2 linked regions of the Ovis aries genome follow. The protein of the gene in region 2 binds, or shares a complex with, the protein of the main gene of each other region. Links are inferred from orthologs where the notes say so. Each region holds a gene or a part of one and is shown on either strand. Other genes may lie near its edges. The genes, in order: POLD4 and POLD1.

Evidence for each region.
Region 1: POLD1 (region 2) and POLD4 share a complex: the UniProt entries of both Homo sapiens proteins name them as parts of the tetrameric DNA polymerase delta complex. The link is inferred for Ovis aries from reciprocal best matches to the Homo sapiens genes POLD1 and POLD4.

Annotation. Positions count from the first base shown.
Region 1 is NC_056074.1:41,657,187-41,666,172, forward strand, and holds POLD4 (DNA polymerase delta subunit 4), read right to left. Parts: upstream 5,554-8,986; 5' UTR 5,393-5,553; coding exon 5,296-5,392; exon of another isoform or gene 5,083-5,295; coding exon 4,993-5,082; coding exon of another isoform or gene 4,869-4,992; intron 4,777-4,868; coding exon 4,665-4,776; intron 4,304-4,664; coding exon 4,279-4,303; 3' UTR 3,832-4,278; downstream 1-3,831. UniProt on the Homo sapiens protein: As a component of the tetrameric DNA polymerase delta complex (Pol-delta4), plays a role in high fidelity genome replication and repair.
Region 2 is NC_056067.1:56,282,413-56,291,894, forward strand, and holds the start of POLD1 (DNA polymerase delta catalytic subunit), read left to right. Parts: upstream 1-4,987; 5' UTR 4,988-5,041; intron 5,042-5,903; 5' UTR 5,904-6,050; intron 6,051-6,753; 5' UTR 6,754-6,770; coding exon 6,771-6,928; intron 6,929-9,482. Other genes in the region: NR1H2 (oxysterols receptor LXR-beta), read left to right, coding at 1,127-1,335, 1,578-1,724. UniProt on the Homo sapiens protein: As the catalytic component of the trimeric (Pol-delta3 complex) and tetrameric DNA polymerase delta complexes (Pol-delta4 complex), plays a crucial role in high fidelity genome replication, including in lagging strand synthesis, and repair.

The sequences.
Region 1 (8,986 bases), on a different chromosome or scaffold from region 2:
TTTAGAGCTTCCTGCTTGGCCCTCCTGCCTGCAGTTTGCCCCCCATCTAGTCTCTCATACCTGGGCAGACAGATTCTCCAGAATGATTACTTTTATCCCGTCCTTTCCTGCTCAGAACCCTTAGGCACTGTCATCACCATCGAGGAGTCCACCTGCAAAGGCCCCAGGCTCAAGCCCCTGTATCGGTCAGTCCCAGCCACCTCACTAGTGTCATCCCACGTGATATGAATGCAGGCTGTGCAGCTGGACTCTGGGATCAAATCCTGTCCCTCACAGTCACGTGCTGTGTGATCCTGGGCAAGCACTTAACCTTTCTGTGCCTGAGTGTCCTCTTTAGATTGCCTTACAAAATGTTTATAATCGTTTCTAGGGTTTCTGTGAGGATAAAGGTCGCTTAGGACAGCGCTGGGTCCGTAGCAAGCACTGAAACGCTAGCTTCGGGCTGTGCTGATGCGCGTGCTGCTGTCCCACACGTTTCCCCTGGGTGCACACAGCCACCCCTCCTCACGGCCTTTGCTTAGCCCACTCCCTCAGTCTAGAATGTTTTCCTCTGTCTGCTGACTCTTACTCACCCGTCAAGGGCCACTGACCTCCCATTTCCTCCCAATACACACTCGCTGGGTGCTTTTTGCTGCGCTGCTCAGCCTCCGCTGGTGGTAGTGGGTGTGTCGTGGTATTTGAAACCAGCCATAGGCCACACATGAATGCGTCTTCCTGGGGTTCATTTTACTTGATAAGTAAGTTCAGCCGTTTTTGTTTTGCTTTTGGCTGTGCAATGCATGATGGGGGATTTTCATTCCCCAACCAGGATTGAACCCACATCCCCTGCAGTGGAAGCTGGGAGTCTTAACTGCTGGACCACCAGAGATGCCCCAGGTTCAGCCATTTTTATGTTACAGCAGCTACTTCAGACATACCGTGGAATAGAATACAAAATTTGCCAAAGATAAAACACACAATTACTAAGAATATTCAGAGTGGTCCCAGGGGCGAGCGTGCACTCATTCTGCAGTGGAAAGGTCTGAGAAGCAGGGGCCGGATGAGGGGCCATGTGTGGTAAGATGCGCCGGGGTCAGGCAGCAGGATGTGGCAGGCTTGGGCTCAGGGCCCTTGCAGTGAGGTTCCCCGGAACACGCTGTGCTCGGTCCTCCCTGAGCACTCTGTCGATGCCTTCCTGCCCGCCCCAGGGTAGCACACTTTCCACATGGGCAGGTCTTTCCGATGCTACACTAGACACCTGGAGCAGGTGTGGGTGGGAATGCGGGTGTGGGGCCTCAGAGTGGGAAGGCAGACCTGGGTGGGAGTTGGGCCCTGGTGTCCACTGATGAAGCAGGGCACTTTTCCTCTCAGCCTCGGTGTCCTCATCTGTGACAGTGGCTGATACTCACCTGACGAGATTGTTCTGAGCAGCCAGCTAGGTGGCGTGAAGCGCAGCAGATGGCACGGGTCAGTGCTTGGTAAACATCTGCTCCCTCCCAGCGCACCAAGCTGTCAGCAAACGTCTGATTCTTGAATGTCCCCTCCCCTGCATCTGCCCCACTCCCTGTGGCTCCCTTCAGGCCACTGGATGCTCTGGTCTAAGGCCACACTCTTCCCTGTGCTCTAGTCCTGGCCCTCCTCACCTTCACAGAGACCCCACTCATCACCTGCCTCCACTGTCTCCCGGCCCTCAGTGCCCCACCCCCTGGTCTCTCCCTGCGCCGGGCCATTACGCTGTGTGTCACTCTAACACGAAAGATGGAACGGGGCAGCACAGAGTAAGCGCCATTCCTTGACCCCATATCCTCTCTAGTTGCCACTCACTTCTCTGCTTCTTTCACAATAAAAGGTCCCTGGAAGGCCTGGCCTGATCCTTGTCTCCACTTCCACCGCCGCTCCCTCTGCGCCCACTCTAGGCCCAGTCCTATACCACCAGTCCAGGGGAACTGCCTGTCGCCAGTGACCTCCACGTGGCCAAGTCCAGCGTGCACGTCTCAGGTTTATTTTACCAGCCTGTCAGAAGCATCTGAGACTTTGAAACACCCTCTGCCCAGGCCTCCCAGGCCCTCCTCTCTCCTGACTTCCTCCAGTCGTGCCCCTCCTCAGTCTCCTTGCTCAGGCCCTTGCCTCTGTCTATACTCACTCAGGTAATCTCATGCCCACACATGGCTTTCATTGCCACCTAAAGGATGCCCAAATTTCTATCTCAATTCGAGAGCTTTTCCTGGAATTCCAGACTTACGTATCCACCACTGCCGACTCCCCAGCTTGGCTGTGTCACAGACCTCAAACTGAACTCTTCATTCCCCGCCCCACCCTCCCCTTCCCGCAATCTTTCCCATCTTAGTAATGGGAACTCTGTTCTTCCAGTTGTGCAAGCCAAACCCTTTGGAGTTATCCTTGGCTCCTCTTTCTTAAACCCCACAGCCAACCCATCAGCAAGTCTTGTCAGTTAGTTCTTCCTTCAAAATACAGAAAGAGTCTGGCCACCTCCTACCTCTATCTCCTACCCCTCACCTCATGGTGAGGCATCACCATCACCTCCAGCAGCCTCCTGCCCCCAGCCCCCCATTGTGTTTTCTACCAACAGCCATCAGTTTGTCATTTGTTGGCTTAAAACCCATTGACAACTTCCTCTCTTACTCAGAATGAAATCCAGATTCCTCACCCTGGTCTGCAAGGAGCCCTGGGACCAACCTGGTTACCCCTCTGTCCCCATTTCCCCTCACCCTCCCCTGGCTCCCTCTGCCCCACCCTGGTCTCTGTGCTGCTTCTTGACCGAGCTGGGAGCACGCCTGCCTGGGGAGGGTGGATGCCAGAGAGTCTCCCCTCACAGCCTCTCTAGCACCCTTGGCACTCTGTCCTCTCACCCTCATTTTGCCCAGCACTGACCACTGCCTGACATAATACTTTTATGTGTTCGTTTTTGTCCATCTCCTCCCACTGATACCCCCAGAGGACCTCCGAGTCCGGCATGCAGCAGGTGCTCAGCAGCCAGGCGGGGCAGGGGGAGACGGAAGAGCCTAGTGCACCTGGCCCCTAGTCTCTGCGCCACCACGTGCCTGCTGGTGCTTCTGGACGACTCTGTACAGCAGTCTAGGCTTCAATGTCCTTCTACGTAAAACCTACTGTGAAGATGTTTTCAGAAACTTAGAGATAATACATTCAAAGTACTTGAGGCATGGTCAGCGCTCAATAAAAAGACTACTTTGCTGCCCTCTGGGCCTGCTTCCAGAGAATTAGTAGTTCTGTCTCTAGCTGTCGCAGGACAGAGAGCTGAGGCATCGTAAGTACTGATTCCATTCTCCGTGTCCCAGGGTCCCCTAAGCATTGTTTGTCGATTACAGCCAGTTCTTCTCCATCTCTAGGACCTGTCAGTTCCCTACCGAAGCTCCTCAGATGATGGCCATCTCTGAGCAGGTCCTGTGGGTTGAAACTCTCCCCCAACCGTGCTTTGGAGCCAGGTGGCCCCCAGTGGCAAATGGAGGTGCTTTCTGGGAATGTGATGTCTGTCTGGACCTTATAAGTGCGCCCATGGGTCCTTCTCTGACAAAGGACCCATTTTTGTGAGTTGGGCAGCACTGGGCAGGCTAGGTGATGGGTTCAGTGGTTTTTTCCTGGCTGGTCGGGGAAGGTGGCTAGAGTCGTTTTCCTGTGAACCACCAGGGGGCGCCAGAGGTTGCCCAGCGCTTGTGAGTACTGACCGTTGTTTTTTTTTGAAGGTGTCTCTCCTTCCTCCCCGGTCTAGGGTTAGGAGAGGAAGAGACACAAACACCTTGCAGGAAAGCATGGTGCTGGTTCTCAGCCACCTATCAACAGCCCAGGCAGGCCCACATAAAGAGACTGGTCAGGTTTCCAGGCTCAGAGTTCTTTATTGATAAGCACTAGTGAACCCCTTGCCCTGTGAGCTCAGCCGTTCTGCCCTCGGGTTCCCAGCCTGAGGAGCGGGTGCATCTTGGCCTCTGAGGTCATCTGCCTTCTGCCGGAGTCTGGTTCTGCCCAAAGCTGCTGCCAGGGACCACGGGGTCCAGGACAGGGGTGTGGCAGGCTTCAGAAGGGTCACGGCCAGGCCCTCCAGAGATCACTCTCCCTGTAGGGGTCACCTGGCTTCCTCTGTGTCGGTTCTCAGAGGAGGCGCTAGAACCCGGCTGGTTAGACCTCCAGATTCAGCCTCTTTCCTTCCCTGCCTGCCTCTTTCCTGCCAAATGTTCTCCACAGCAGGGCTGAGCCGCGGGGCAGCAACTGGCTCTCACTTGTGTCCGGTTCTCAAGTAGCAGGCAGGAGGTCTTCGGCGGAGCGTCAGAGGGGATAGAAATGCCAGAGGCTGTGCAGGGGGGTCGGGATGGAGGGAAACCTGAATCAGTGAAGTCTCTCCACTTGCTCTCACCAGCCCCAGCTCTCGGCCATGGCCTAAAGCCCTTGGCCAACCTTTGAGCATGAAATAGTCCCTTGGGCCCCAGGTGTACTCTTTCTCCACCGTTAGCTCAGAGATAAGAATTACGAAGGCAAGCTTCTGCCTCCTGAGCTCAGCACCTTGTAGAACCTTCTTGCCTGCCCAGTGACAATCCCCAAGGCTGCACCTACTTATCCCGAAGGTCAGGACAGCCCCCATCCTGGGCCAGCAGGCTGGTGGTACCTGAAGTCCCTGCCCCACCCCCCAGAGCTCTCCCTGGCTTGTCTCTGACCTGCACTGGAAGCGGGGATCCCCGGGGTGGCTCTGCAGCACCTGACGCACTTCTGGGGGAGGCTTCAAGCCCATCTGCTCTGCCCGATGCCAGCGCTGCAACCGTGTGATCCCTGCAGGAGTGGAAAGGAGACAGTGAGGGAGGCCTCAAGGGGGCAGGGGAAAGTCCAGGCTAGAGAGTATGTTTGGAGGGGTGTGTCAGGACCTGCATGAGTCCCCGTCTCAGGAGACGGTGTCCAGAGGGTCAGGCAGGGGCTGGGGTTGCTTGAGAGACGTGTGGGTGGCAAGACTGGCTCCTGGATGTGCTCTCGGGCCTGAGGGGCTCTCACCTGTGCAGGGCCCATACTGCCAGGCCAGGTCAAACTGCCTCAGCAGCTCCAGCTCCGCTTCATCCACGCTCAGGGTTAGGGGCTCTTCCCCTGCAATGATATGCTGTTCCTCAGGCCTGCCCAGGCCTGTGCCCTGCCCCTTGCCTCACAACTGACCCCACTGTTCCCCAGCTCTCACCACCCCTCTGCCTCTGTTATCCACTGCTATCGGAAGTAGAGGACATACTCCACTTCCCCTTCCACAGCCCATGTCCTTTCATGTCCCTCACGTCCACTCCTCCCGCCCTCCCACATCTCAGAGACCTAGCTCTGGTGCCAGCTCCCCCTTGCTGTGCCCAGCGGAGCCCTCCCTCCTCTTCACTACAGGGTAGGAGTCAGTGATGAGCCGTTTCCGGCCCATGGCGGCCACCCAGGCAGGCAGAGGAGGAGGCCACTGCCGGGAAGGAGAAGCAGGCCAGCGGGCACGAGAGAGACAGCTGCTGAGAGAGAGCGAGAGAGGGCTGGGGCCAGAGAGCGAGCCTGGGGCCAGCGATGGGCAGACGGACGACCCAGACAAACAGCAAGGAAGTCGGAGGGTTCCAGGGAATGACGCGTCTCCCCCACCCCCGCAAGCATGCAAACAGCAGACCTAAGCCAATGAGAGGCTGCCTGTGTGGGGCGGGGCCTGGTCCCAGCCAATGGCAGGTGGTGCAGGCAGGGGCGGGGCAGTTGATGCAGCTGTGCTCTGGGGGAGGGGGGTGAGGCTGAGTGGGGGACCTGTCAAGATGCCCCAGACGGCACCACCTCCTCCGGCCACCCCACACTGGTCTGCAGTGGGTCTCGGGGGACTTACAGAGCGTTATCCTTGGCCTCTCACTTCCCGTTTTCCCTTCCTAGGCAAATGTTCTTTTCAGCCTCACTAATCCCCGTAGCCGGTCTGTAACTCCCCAGAGCCCAGCCGGAGACTTCCACTCCCGCCCCTTGGCCCAAAGAGCGTTGTGGGGGCAGGTCTGGAGGTCCGGAGAGAGTTTGGGCTAATCCATACCCCTTCCCTGCTCCCACCCCGCCCCCACCGGCCCCAGGAGACCTGGCTGGCTGGAGAAGCCCAGGGGTTCTGAAAGCTCCTTTCTCACAGTCTGCGCCCAGAGATATTGCCCACTCTTAGTCCAGGCGAGCGCTTGCCTCTTCCACTGCCCCGGGGTCCCACAGCCTGGCACTGCCCTCTGTTCAGGAAGATTCCACACTTCCACACGGTGCAGGAGGCCAGAGTGTGTTGGACCCCTAGTCCTTCATCAGTAAAATCTGTCCCAATGTGAGAGTATGAGTAGAAAATACCGACAGTAAACCTGACACTTACACGGTGTGCCAAGTTCTGTCCTGAGCACTTTCCCACATACTCTCTCAACTAAAATAGACAGAAATGGTTCTTGAAAGTAGGAAGTACTGACTTCCTTGGGCAGTCCAGTGATTAGGACCCAGTGCTTACACTGTAGGGTGAACGGATTCGGTCCCTGTTCTGGGAATTAAGATCCCACAAGCATACCAGCGCAGCCAAAATAAAATAACAGGAAGTAGGAAGTCAGGCACGGTGGGGCCCTGGTGAAACCATCGTCCCTCTGTGTCCCCCAGGAGCTCACAGGCCAATAGGCAAGCAGACAGACACACAAATGGCAGTGCAAGGATAAAATTCCTAACAAACTAGAAGAGGACGACAGGGTCAGAAATGAGTTGTACTGTGAGGCTGGCTTAGCACTGGAAGTCCTCCTGGAGGAGGTGGGCTGCTGTAAACAGTGTCTCTCAATTCTCCACCCATGACCTTTGTCCCTTGGGCTCCTGTCATCGCTGACTCACCCCTGTACCCGCCTCCTCCTCACCAACTTCCTGGCAGCAGGCAAAAGTGCTGGCCAGTGGGAGTCTGGGAATCATTGCAGGGCCCAGCCCAGTGCTAATCGCCCTCTACAGATCCCATCCGGTTCTTCCTCCCAGGGCACAAGGGCCTGCTCAGGGGCTTCTGCTTCCCCCTCTCCCACTGCTCTGGGGTCTGGGCTCCCTGTTTCAGGAGGAGTGTGGGCAAAAGGGAGGAGAATGCTCTGGAGAAAGACCACCAAAGAGGAGGCGCAGGAGCAGGAACAGGCCGTGTCTGCAGGGGCCTCCTCCCACCTGGCTCTCCCCATCCCTTCCTGGAGGAGAGCAGAGTGGAGGAGTGAGAGCTCCTGGGTGCACTGCACAGAGCTGGAGGGCCCTTCCCTGCTTTATTGTTTGGGCTGGGCCAAGTCTAATCCCCCCATCTGCCTCCTGGACTAAGTGGGGCCCACAGGGAGGGAGACAGGGGCCCTGCTGTGACAGGGAGGGAGACAGGGAGGCCCTCTCCACCAGGCTGTGAAGGGCTTCGGTGCTGGGTCCAGTCAGGCAGGGAGTACTCCAGGGAGGGATGGTGCTCAGGCTCTGTGAGTCTGACCACCCCTCCCCAGAGGGTGTGTCTGGAGGTGTGTGGCACCCAGCTTCTGAGCCCACAAAGCCCTAAGGGAGTAGGGAGCCATGGGTGGGGCAGACCCCTCCTCATTCCTGGTCCCTCCCACCCCTGAAAGCTGATAGCCGTGGGGCCCTGCCACCGCCCAGGGAGCGTGAAATGGGGTATGCGGCTGGGCGGCCACCGTGGCTCCTACCCACCGCTGCCTGAGCTAGTCCCTCTCCCCTCTGGCACCCTGGCTGGCTCTATGGGCACTGTCTGGGCAATCCCTGCCAGCTGCCCCCAGCCCTGCCTGGTCCAGGCCCTGCTAGCCTGCCCTGCTCAGCCTGGAAGATGTCTCCCTCGGCCTTTGGCTTCTCCTAGTCCAGGTTCTCAGTTCAAGTGCCAGCACCCTAGCATGGGTTTTCTGGCCTGGAGTTGAGCAAAGTCTCCGCAGGCAGCATGGCCCCCTCTCCTAGTCACACAGAGGTCGGCTCAAGCCCCAGGGCCTGAAGGAGTTGGCACTCAGGGGTTTTGGGGCCATCCCTGTCCAGCTGGGGATCTTTGCCCAACTTGGCATCTGGATTCCTAAGCTGTGCTGGCAACTAGGCTAGACATCCGCCTGTCCATCCTCAGGTGTTTTCCTTCTTTGCTCTCCAACCCTGTCTGCCTCTTTTGCTCTTCCTTCCTGGAACCCCTATCCCTACTCAGGCAACCTCCTGGCCTAGCCCCAAAACCGCTGTCCTGGGGCCTGTCGTGGTTCAGGCTTCAGGCTGGAAGGCCAGGCCAGAGGTCTGGCTTGGGGGCTAAACTTTCTCTCTTTCAGGGATTTTCCTGAGACCCAGATGTAGGTTCCTTGTCAGCCCTGATCCCCAGAGGCTGGTGATGACACTAGCAGGAATGACCTTGGAACACTCAAGGCCCTTGCCTCACAGCCAAGTCCAAAATCTTGGGGGAACCCAAGAGAAAAGGAGAGAAAAGACTTGGAATAGGATCCCACCACCTTCCTGAGGGCTGAGGCCTGCCATTGACTGCTCCGAGGGGAAGGGGGATTAGGCCTGGCTTAGCTCAGACAATGCGGCAGGATGGGGGGGGGGCGGTGCTTCAGCACTGCACATGCACCCTAAGAGCCCCTTCCCTCCCCCCCAACAGTGGGGCCTGCGGGGAGGGCCTGTCAGAGCTCAGAGGAGGGGGCAGGTGGAGAGAGGGGAGCAGCTGCCTGGGGCCCAGCAGGCGGTGGGGCGCAGCCACTCTCCTTCCCTCCCCAACATCCCCCTTCCTCAGGCCCTCAGGCCCTGCCACCCACCCTGAGCTGGAGATTCTCGGCACCAGACTCACAACCCTGAGCCCCGTTTCCCACCCTGTGGGGCCAGAATTCTTTCAGGCAGCTCCTCCTGGTCCCTGCTGACCCCCTCAGACATCCTCCTTCCTCCTCCTCCAGCTTCCCGGGCCTCGTGGGCTTTCAGGAGCCTGGGAGTAGGCAGAAGTTCCCCTGGGTCTGGGTTTCTGCCACTGGATGTCTCTTCTGCCCTGTCTCCACTACCCCATTCAAACCTCCCTCCCATC
Region 2 (9,482 bases):
GTCGCCTCACAGCTTCTGTTTGCTGGTCCCTCTTTCCAGAACTAGGTTGACCATCTCGTCCTAGTTTGCTTGGGGCCTTCCAAGCTTTTCTTACTTTTTAAAGATTTTTTTGTTTTTGGCTGCGCTGGGTCTTCGTTGCTTTGTGCGAGCTTTCTCTAGTTGCTGTGCGCGGGCTTCTCGTTGCCAGTGCGGGCCCTAGGCAGTTGGGCTCAGTTGCAGTGCGTGGGTTTAGTTGCCCTGCAGCATGTGGCATCTTCCTGGCCAGGGATGAAACCTGTGTCCCCTGCACTGGCATGTGGATTCTTAGCCACTCTGCAAGAAGCAAGTCTCCTGAGCTTTAATACTCAAAGTCCAGGGCCTAGGAAGCCTAGTCCCAGGCAAAACAGACTGGTAGCACCCTCCCTGGAACACTCGCACAGCCTGGTAACTCCCTCCCTCCCCTCTTTAGTCAGACACCCTGCAGCTAGGGAGGCCTTCCGACACTCACCTTGTGGTGACCCTCATGTCTAAAATATGGACGTGATTCTCTCCGTTACCTTCCCTTGCGTTACCTCAATCCATAGAACTAGAACCATCTCACAGGGTGGATGGCGTACTTGCAGACCTGTCTATTATCTGTCTCTTCAAGCCCCAGATGCAAGTGCCACGAGAGCAGGGGGCTTTGTCTTAGAATGTCTCTGCCTGGGACCTGATGCGCAGTGGGTGCTCAATCAAGTTTGATGAATGAATGAGTCACACCTGGAAATGAGTTCCGCTTCACTGTGAGAGCAGGGGATGCCACCTCAGGGGGTGATGTAAGGTGACCTGGGATTAAACACCTTTCCTTTTCCAGAGGAGAGGTACCAGGAAGGAAGCGAAGAGGGTGACGGGGTGGTAGAAACTTCTGAATAAATGTTCACACTTATTACTCATTGCTTCATTCAGGCAAGACATATGGCATACCCACGACGTGCCAAGCCCTTGATGGGCAGTGGGGTTACAGGGTGACCAGCACGCTCTACTTGCTGCTGGTTCCCTCGCTCTGCTGACAGTGGGCAATGCCAGTGGCAGGGCAATGCCAGTGGCCAGGCATGGGGGCCAGTTTTAGGTCAGAGTGTTTATCAGAGCCAGTCTCCTGTCTCCACAGGCCTGCAGGTGGAATTCATCAACCCCATCTTCGAGTTCTCACGGGCCATGAGGCGTCTGGGCCTGGATGACGCGGAGTACGCCCTGCTCATCGCCATCAACATCTTCTCAGCCGACCGGCCCAACGTGCAGGAGCCCAGCCGGGTCGAGGCCCTGCAGCAGCCCTACGTGGACGCGCTGTTGTCTTACACACGCATCAAGAGGCCACAGGTACCGGAGCCCGGACCCTCCCAAGGAAACCTAGACCTGTGTAGGGTCAGCTTCCTACGTCCCTGGCTCACCCCAGCAGCTGAGTTCTGATCAGTGTCCTCTCAGCAGCCTGTCCTCAAGGCCCCTGTCCCATCATTAAGGAGTCAGGCAAGTCCTTGCCCAGGGGCCCCCACACTGCCTCTCCAGGGTGGGGGTCCTCCGGGTGGGCCGCCTGGCACCCACCCACTCCTGTCTCCTTGCAGGACCAGCTGCGCTTCCCCCGCATGCTGATGAAGCTTGTGAGCCTGCGCACGCTCAGCTCCGTGCACTCGGAGCAGGTCTTCGCCCTGCGGCTTCAGGACAAGAAGCTGCCACCTTTGCTGTCTGAGATCTGGGACGTCCACGAATGAAGGGCCCACCCCACTGCCCTGCACATCCCCAATGACTGCACACTGGGGTGGGAAGGGACCGGGCTGGGTCTGGGCTCCCGCCCTGCGGCTCGGAGCTAAAGCCTTGGCCCCCCGCCAGCCCTCAGGATGAGCCCCAGTCGGCGTCCAGGAGCCTCCCTGCCTGCCCACTGAGTCTTCCTGGGAGGGCTGGAGGGGGTCACGGGTCCTGAGCTCTGACCTCTCCCAGCACTCCCAGCTGCCCTCCCCGCCCAGCTTACACCTCAAGCCTACCATGCAGTGCACCTTGAACAGAGGCAGGAGGGCCTGTGGCTCTCCCACAGCCTGAGAGACCACAGACAGGCTCCCTGCTCTGCTCCTTTTATTTAATAAAAACTAAAAAAAAAAAAAAAAAAACAGGAAAATAAAGTATGACTAGAAACTTGCTCTGATTCAGGATGAGTCTGAGGTGGGAATGGGCTGCCAGGGTCTTCATGGACACCAAACCCCCAGACCTGGTGTTGGACTAGGGTGGGTTCAGGGTGATAAGACTAGGCGCTTTGGGGGCCTCAGGGTCATCTGGTGGTTGGAGCCTGCTCCTGAAGGTCAGGGAGGATTTAAGTGGAGGAGGGCATGGAGCTTTCGTTCAATCAGCAAGTATTGGCTGAGGCTGCTTTGTCGGCCAGTCTCAGGACACAGGTGTTTTTCATTTGACAGATGCGTATGGAGCATTTGTGCTGTGCTGTGGTTAGTCGCTAACTCGTGTCCGACTCTGACCTCATGGACTGTAGCCCACCAGGCTCCTCTGTCCGTGGGGATTCTCCAGGCAGCAATACTGGAGTGGGTTGCCATGCCCTCCTCCAGGGGATCTTCCTAACCCAGGGATCGAACCCAGGTCTCCCGCATTGCAGGCGGATTCTTTACCATCTGAGCCACCAGGGAAGCCCCATGGAGCATTTACTATGTGCCAAATACATTCTTAGGCACTGGAAACATCTGTGAACACGATAAAGTCTCTGCAGCCACCGTGGAAAACAGTATGGCGGTTTCTCAAAACACGAAAACTAGAGGAATTCCTTGGCAGTCCAGTGGTTAGGACCCTGGGGGCCTAGGTTCAGTGCCTGGCTGCGGAACTAAGATTACACATGCCATTCGTTGGGGTCAAAAAAAAAGCTAAACTAGAACTCTGTCACAGGACTCAGCAATCCCACTCCTGGATATATACTGAAAAAACCCCAAACACTAAATTTGAAAGGATACACACACCTCAATATTCGTAGCAATATTATTTACAATTGCCAAGATAATGGAAGTGACCTAAGTGTTCATCTACAGATGAAGAAGGCGTCATACGTACATACAGAATGGGATACTATTCAGTCATGAAAGTGAAATTTTTGCTATCTGCAGCAACATGGTTGGACTTGAAGGGCATTGCTGCTGCTGCTGCTAAGTCACTTCAGTCGTATACGACTCTGGGCGACCCCATAGACAGCAGCCCACCAGGCTCCTCCGTCCCTGGGATTCTCCAGGCAAGAATACTCGAGTGGGTTGCCATCTCCTTCTCCAATGCATGCAGGCATGCTAAGTCGCTTCAGTCGTGTCCGACTGTATGACCCCATGGACAGCAGCCCACCAGGCTCATCTGTCCACAGGATTCTCCAGGCAAGAATACTAGAGTGGGTTGCCATTTCCTTCTCTATGGAGGGCATTATGCTAAGTGAAATAAGACAGAGAAAGACATATACTGTGCATCATTTACAAACGGAATCTAAATACAACTAACTAGTGACTATAACAGAAAAGAAGCTGATTGACAGACTGAACAAACTAGTGGTTACCAGTGGCGGGAGGGACAACAGGGGTGGAGGATTGGGAGGTAAAAACTATGGGTGTAAGGTAGGCTCAAGGATGTGTTGTACAACATGGACAATAATAGCCAATATTTTGTAATAATTGTAAATGGACCTTTACAAATTGTATTGGGGAGTTCCCTGGTGGTCTAGTAGTCGGACCTCTATGCTTTAACTGCCAGGAACTGAGTTCAATACCTGGTCAGGAAGTAAGATTTTGCAAGCTAGGCCACACAGCCAAAAATCAAATCAAATAAATAAGGTGAAGTCTCTCCTCGGAGTTGACCACCAGTCAGGGCTGGTCATGGGAGGCTGAGCAGGAACTGACAGAAGGTAAGGGAAGAGGGGCAGCGCGGGACAATGTGGGAGATGAGTAGGAAGTCAGGCAAGGCCTCAAAAGAGGCCTGCTGCTGCTGCTAATCACTTGAGTCTATCTGACTCTGTGCGACCCCATAGACGGCAGCCCACCAGGCTCCCCCGTCCCTGGGATTCTCCAGGCAAGAACACTGGAGTGGGTTGCCATTTCCTTCTCCAATGCATGAAAGTGAAAAGTGAAAGGGAAGTCGCTCAGTCGTGTCCAACCCTTAGCATGGACTGCAGCCTACCAGGCTCCTCTGTCCATGGGATTTTCCAGGCAAGGGTACTGGAGTGGGGTGCCATTGCCTTCTCCCGAAAGAGGCCTAGATGAGTTCAAAGGAAAGGCAGTGGAGTTCTCCTAATTTCTTCTTCTGCTGCGCCAAGCCGTGAGGGGACACCGAGGTGAGCTGAATGGACAGTCCCAGTCCAGGGTGAAGAGGGTGTTGTCTGGAGGGGTGGGTGGAGTACTGAAAAATATATTTTTGTAGAGAGGGGAGAGGGAACGGGGGAACTGAGAGTAGTTACATGCGATCGTCGTATCCCAGAGTGCCTCTCGCTCTAGAGATGTGCCTGCCCTGCGCAAGAGTCCAGTTTACAGATGGGGAAGCTGAGGCCGCGCGAGACAGGAGAACCAACCTGGCCAGGATCTGAGCGCGCATGGGCCAGCCTCTATCGGGAGGGAAAAGGTCAGGCTGCGGACTGGAGGAGGAACACTGCCCAGGCGGTCCTCCCGACAAGGCCTTGGCCAGGAAGCGGCTGGGGTGGAGGGTGCGCGCCCAGCACCTTAGAGCCGGCAGGGTCGAACGGAGGGCCGGCGCCCAGAGCCGCTGCGCGTGCGCAGAGAACACTGGGTCTCAACCCGCCGGTGAGGAAGGGGGCGTAGCTTCGAGCCACAAACGTCAGAGGGGGCGTGGCTTGGCGAGGATACATCCGCAAGGGGACTAGACCACCGTCCAAGTTGGAAGGAGGGGGCGTGGCCTGTGCCCCAGAGAGGGGGAAGAGGGCGTGGCCTCCCATATTTGGGTGGGAGGGGCGTGGCCCGGCTCTGCGCGCCGCACTTCTGGGCCTGCGCGCGCCGGAGTCAGGGGTCACGGCGGCGTGGGCTGTGGCGGGAAACACTGTTTGAAGCGGGTGAGTTACGGGAGAAGGGGATTTGCAGGGGACTTTGCCTGGCCGGGAAGGAGGCTTGGGGAGCCGAGTCCGTGGGCCTGAGAGAGGGTTGTGAGAGCTCGCGTGGGGCATGGCGGCGGGAGGGATCCCCTTGGTTAGGGGGCGCGCGCAGGAGGGGCAGAGGCCAGTGGCCGTGGGCGCGTACGCGGGGGCAGATGACAGGGTGGGGGCGTCCCCTCGGCCTGCGGGGGGCGCTGGCGCTGGGCGCCGAGGACGAGGGGGACGCACACTGGGGAGTCTTGGGAGCAACGGGTCCCGGAGGCATTGGGTTCTCGATGGTGCACGTGAGGGCATGGTGTCATCTTTTATTCTCTAGATACTGAGTACACTGTGCCCAGCACTGCCCTAGGGTTCGAGGCTACAACCCAAATAAGTCAGAGAAAGCCTCTTTCTCAGGGGCAGACCGAGAGTAGACAAGTAGTAAGTAATGACGACAAACCAATGTTGTCAGCTTGTGATTCGTTACCCCAAGGAAAGTGAAACAAGAGTAGCCTGCTTTTTTATTTCTGGAGTGAACAGGAGTAGTCCCTCTGGGGAAGTGACATTTGAGAGAGAAGTGAGCCCCGGAAAAAATGTTCTGGACGTGGGGTGGATGGGCTGGCCATCCAGTAAAAAGACCTTGAAGTAGGAAGGGGCTTGGCTTCCTTGTAACTTGTAGGGAAGAGTGAGGCTGGAGACATGGTAGGGAACCAGATCCTATAGGGCTTTGTACATCTCAGTGTTCCCTTTAACGTTTACTGTAAGTTCAGTAGGGAGCTGGGGAGGTTTTGAGCATCACAGCGTCTTGATCCTCCCCTGAGCTTTAAAAAATCTCTGACTGCAGATTGAAGATGGGGTTGTAGCAGGAGTGAGAGTGGAAGGAGGAGAGGCCAGTTGGAGGCAAGGGGGAATGCTAGGCGGCTCAGCCTGCAGTGCAAGTGGGGAGAATCCATCAGGCGGAGGTGGTTTCTGGAGTGTGAACGCGCACAAGGTGAGTGTAGGGAAGGGGGGAGCCCAGGATCACAGGGCTTGTGGTTCGAGCAGTAGGCTGGAGACGGGGAGCTGAGGGGGGGCAGGTTTGGGGGTGCCACCCTGAGGGCAGAGCTTAGGTGGTGCAAGTGGGCAGGGTGATGGCAGTGTGTCAGGTTCACGGCCACACCCACTCCAGGAACCTCTTGTTGCCTTTTCTCCCCCTCCTTCCTGCACCTCCCCACCCAGGCTGTTCCTGCCCTACTCAGGGCCTTTGCTGGGCACTGGGGAGCTAGTGATAATTCCGTTTGGTTGGAAGAAGGACAGGAATCTCAAGCCAGAGCTCTCTGAACTAAAAAGAGGCGGCACTAGTCTTTGGGAGCTAACAGAAGAAAATGAGGGTTCAAGGTGGACTCATGGCGTTGGTGACACCAGAGAAGGGTCTAAACCGACACAACTTGAAGTGGCCTGCATCGCAGGCTCTCTGCTAGGTGATGCTGGGGACCCAGACTGGAGCCAGCCCCTGACCCCTGTGTTTTGAGGACCTCTCAGTTGGAAGTTGTCACAGCTTGTGCAGTAATGGAAATGCCCCCAAGATGCTGTGGGAGCCCCTAGGGGGCCGCTGATCAGTGAGGAGGAACTGAACCAGAACTGAGTTTCAGAGGGTGTAGAGGAGTTAGGTGGCCAAGAAAAAGGAAGATTTCATCCCGAAAACTTCTCCCAAGACCAGGCCCCATGCTGGATGATCCCGGGGACCCAGAGCAGCCTCAGCCCTGCCCCGCCATCAAGAGTTCCCTGTCTGGTGAGGGAGCCAGACACAAGCCCAGGTGATCCACAGCCCAGGACGAGGGCAGCAGGAGTCACGAGGCCCAGAGGGGGGACCTGGCCAAAGCCTGAAAGGTGTGGAGTTTTCAGGGGGGGCGGGAGTGAATAGATCCATTTGTCGTTATTTAATCGATCCTTTGACAGATGTGTGTGAGCCAGGATACAGGGTGAGCAAGCAGATGAGTCTGTCCTGTCTCCCCTGCTGGGCAGAGGGCAGTTCACCCCCATATCGCTCCTGGCACCCCCAGAGGCCGACAGTCTGGCGCACTGATCACCCGTGGGGCCCTGGAGCCAGTCTGCTTGGGTTGGAACCCGGGCTCTGCCCCTCTGAGCTCGTTGTGTCACCTCAGGCTTGAAGGTGGCTTCACGTCTCTGGGCCTCCATGCCAGTCACTGTGTTGGAGAGTTAATAGCAGCACCTGCCTCAGAAGCTTTGGTGAAAATTTTGAGTTCCTTCCTTGGTGCTGCATTCAGAACGTATTCGGAGAAGGCAAAGGCAACCCACTCCAGCGTTCTTGCTTGGAGAATCCCAGGGACGGAGGATCCTGATAGGCTGCCGTCTATGGGGTCGCACAGATTCGGACACGACTGAAGCGACTTAGCAGCAGCAGCAGCACTTATTTATTGGGTGTGTACTCGGCTTCAGCCTCTCTCCTGGGGACATGAGATGTAGCGGGAAACAGAAGGTGAAATCCCGGCTTTGGCAGTATTTCCATTCTCCTTGCAGACAGTAAACAAAACGAATAGGCAGTAGTGCTCAGGCTTGAGCAGCTTCGGAGGCCCTGGAGGGCTCGATCCTACGCGGGGGGCTGGGCCCACCTCCAGAGGCCCTGACTCAGTAGGTCTGGGGTGGGGCCTGAAGGCTTCCATTCCCACCAGTTCCCACCAGAAGCTGCAGGTGCAGGGCGCCACACTTGGAGAACTCTGAACGATCTGATACAGCACAGCAGACAGCGAGAGGCCAGCAAGAAAAATAAAGCTAGGGAAGGAGTTGGAGAGTGTCAGGAGGGGCAGCGGGGCTGTCTTTTCAAATTTTTCTGTATCTGTTTTCTGGTCGCGCCTTGGCCTGTGGGAGTTCCCTGGCCAGGAATCGAACCCATCCCCCCTGCCGTAGAAGTGCAGAGTCTAACCACTGGACTGCTGGGGAGGCCCCAGGGGCTGTATTTTGAAGCCGGCCTCACTGGGAAGGTGAAATTGGAACAAAAACCTGAAGGCGGGGAGGAGAGAGCCATGGGGATGTCTGGAAAAGAGCATTTGGTTGGGCAGCAAGAACAGCTTGTGAAAAGGTCTGGGGTAGGAGCAAGCCTGGAGTGTTTGAGGAACAGAGAGGAGGCAAGTGGCTGGAGTGAGCAAGGGAGAGAGGGCGGAGGTGGTATCCCTGAAAGAGTAGGTGGGGGCAGTTGTGCAGGGCCTTGTGGGCCACAATGAGGACTTTTAACTGTGCATGAGGCAAGAGCCAGGGACAGGCTCTGAGCAGAGCAGGGGTGGGACGATCTGACATAAAGTCTCTTTGGTTGCTGAGTGGAGAAAACACTGAGGGGGGCCAGGTGGAAGGAGGGCGGGGCCAGGTGGAAGGAGGGAGATGACAGGCGGGCAAGGCTATTCATTCAGCAGATACTCCTCGGGTGTCCTCTATGGGCCAGACACTGTTACTGACACCCGTGATTCTTCAGTGAAGGAGACTGCATCCCAGGCCGAGCTGAGCTTATTTTCCAGCAGGGGGAGCCAGACAAACAGCAATGCACAAAATAGAGGCCAACGATCTTAGGGAGCTGGGGCGGGGCCTGTCCATTGAAAGGGAGAGCTGATAAATAAATTTGCTGATGCAGTGAGCGTGTGGTCTGAAGGGAAGAGAGAAGTTGGGGTGACTCCAAGGTTGTCGACCTGCCGGGAGTTGTACTGAATCAGGGGAGACTGTGGGGTGCGAGGAGCAGGTTTGGGGGGAGATCAGGAGCCTGGCTTTGGAGTCTGGGGTGCCTGAAGGGACGTCGCCACAGTGGGCACTCAGATCTGTCAGCCTGGAGTCCCGGCTGAGGTCTGTGTGGGAGACACAAAAGCTAAGAGATGGCATTTAAAGCCATCCCCTGGTGGTTAAGATTCCACTCTTAGTTGTGGGTTCGATCCCAGGTCAGGGGACTAAGATCCATATGCTTAGTGGTGTAGCAAAAAAAAAAAGCGGTGAGGTTGGGTGGGATGGGATGACAACCTCCAGGGAGTGTGTCAGAGAGAAACGGGTGTGTGACTAGAGCAGGCACTCGTTGTGGTTAATGCTGGATTCACTTGCTGTTCAGTATTTGCTGCTGAAGCACCCAGAAAGGTGCCAAGCTCTGCCCTGCACTCCTGCGAGGGGGACACCCAGGGACCCTCCCTTCTCATGCTGGCTTGCCTGACAGCACCTGGGATAGGAGACTAGTCCAGGACCCTAGGTTTTGCTCCGGTGACAGCTGCCCACCCATCGTACCCCCTGGCCACAGCCCAGTGACCCAGGGCAGCCGGTTGGCCCTCTCCTTCCTCCCCCTGACAAGCCAGGTCTGCCACTCCGTGGGGCTCCTGGCAACCCCTGAGCTTCCTCTGCCTCACCTGGGCATTTCCCCCAGGTCCTAACTCTCTGCATCCCTCTGGCTACTCGC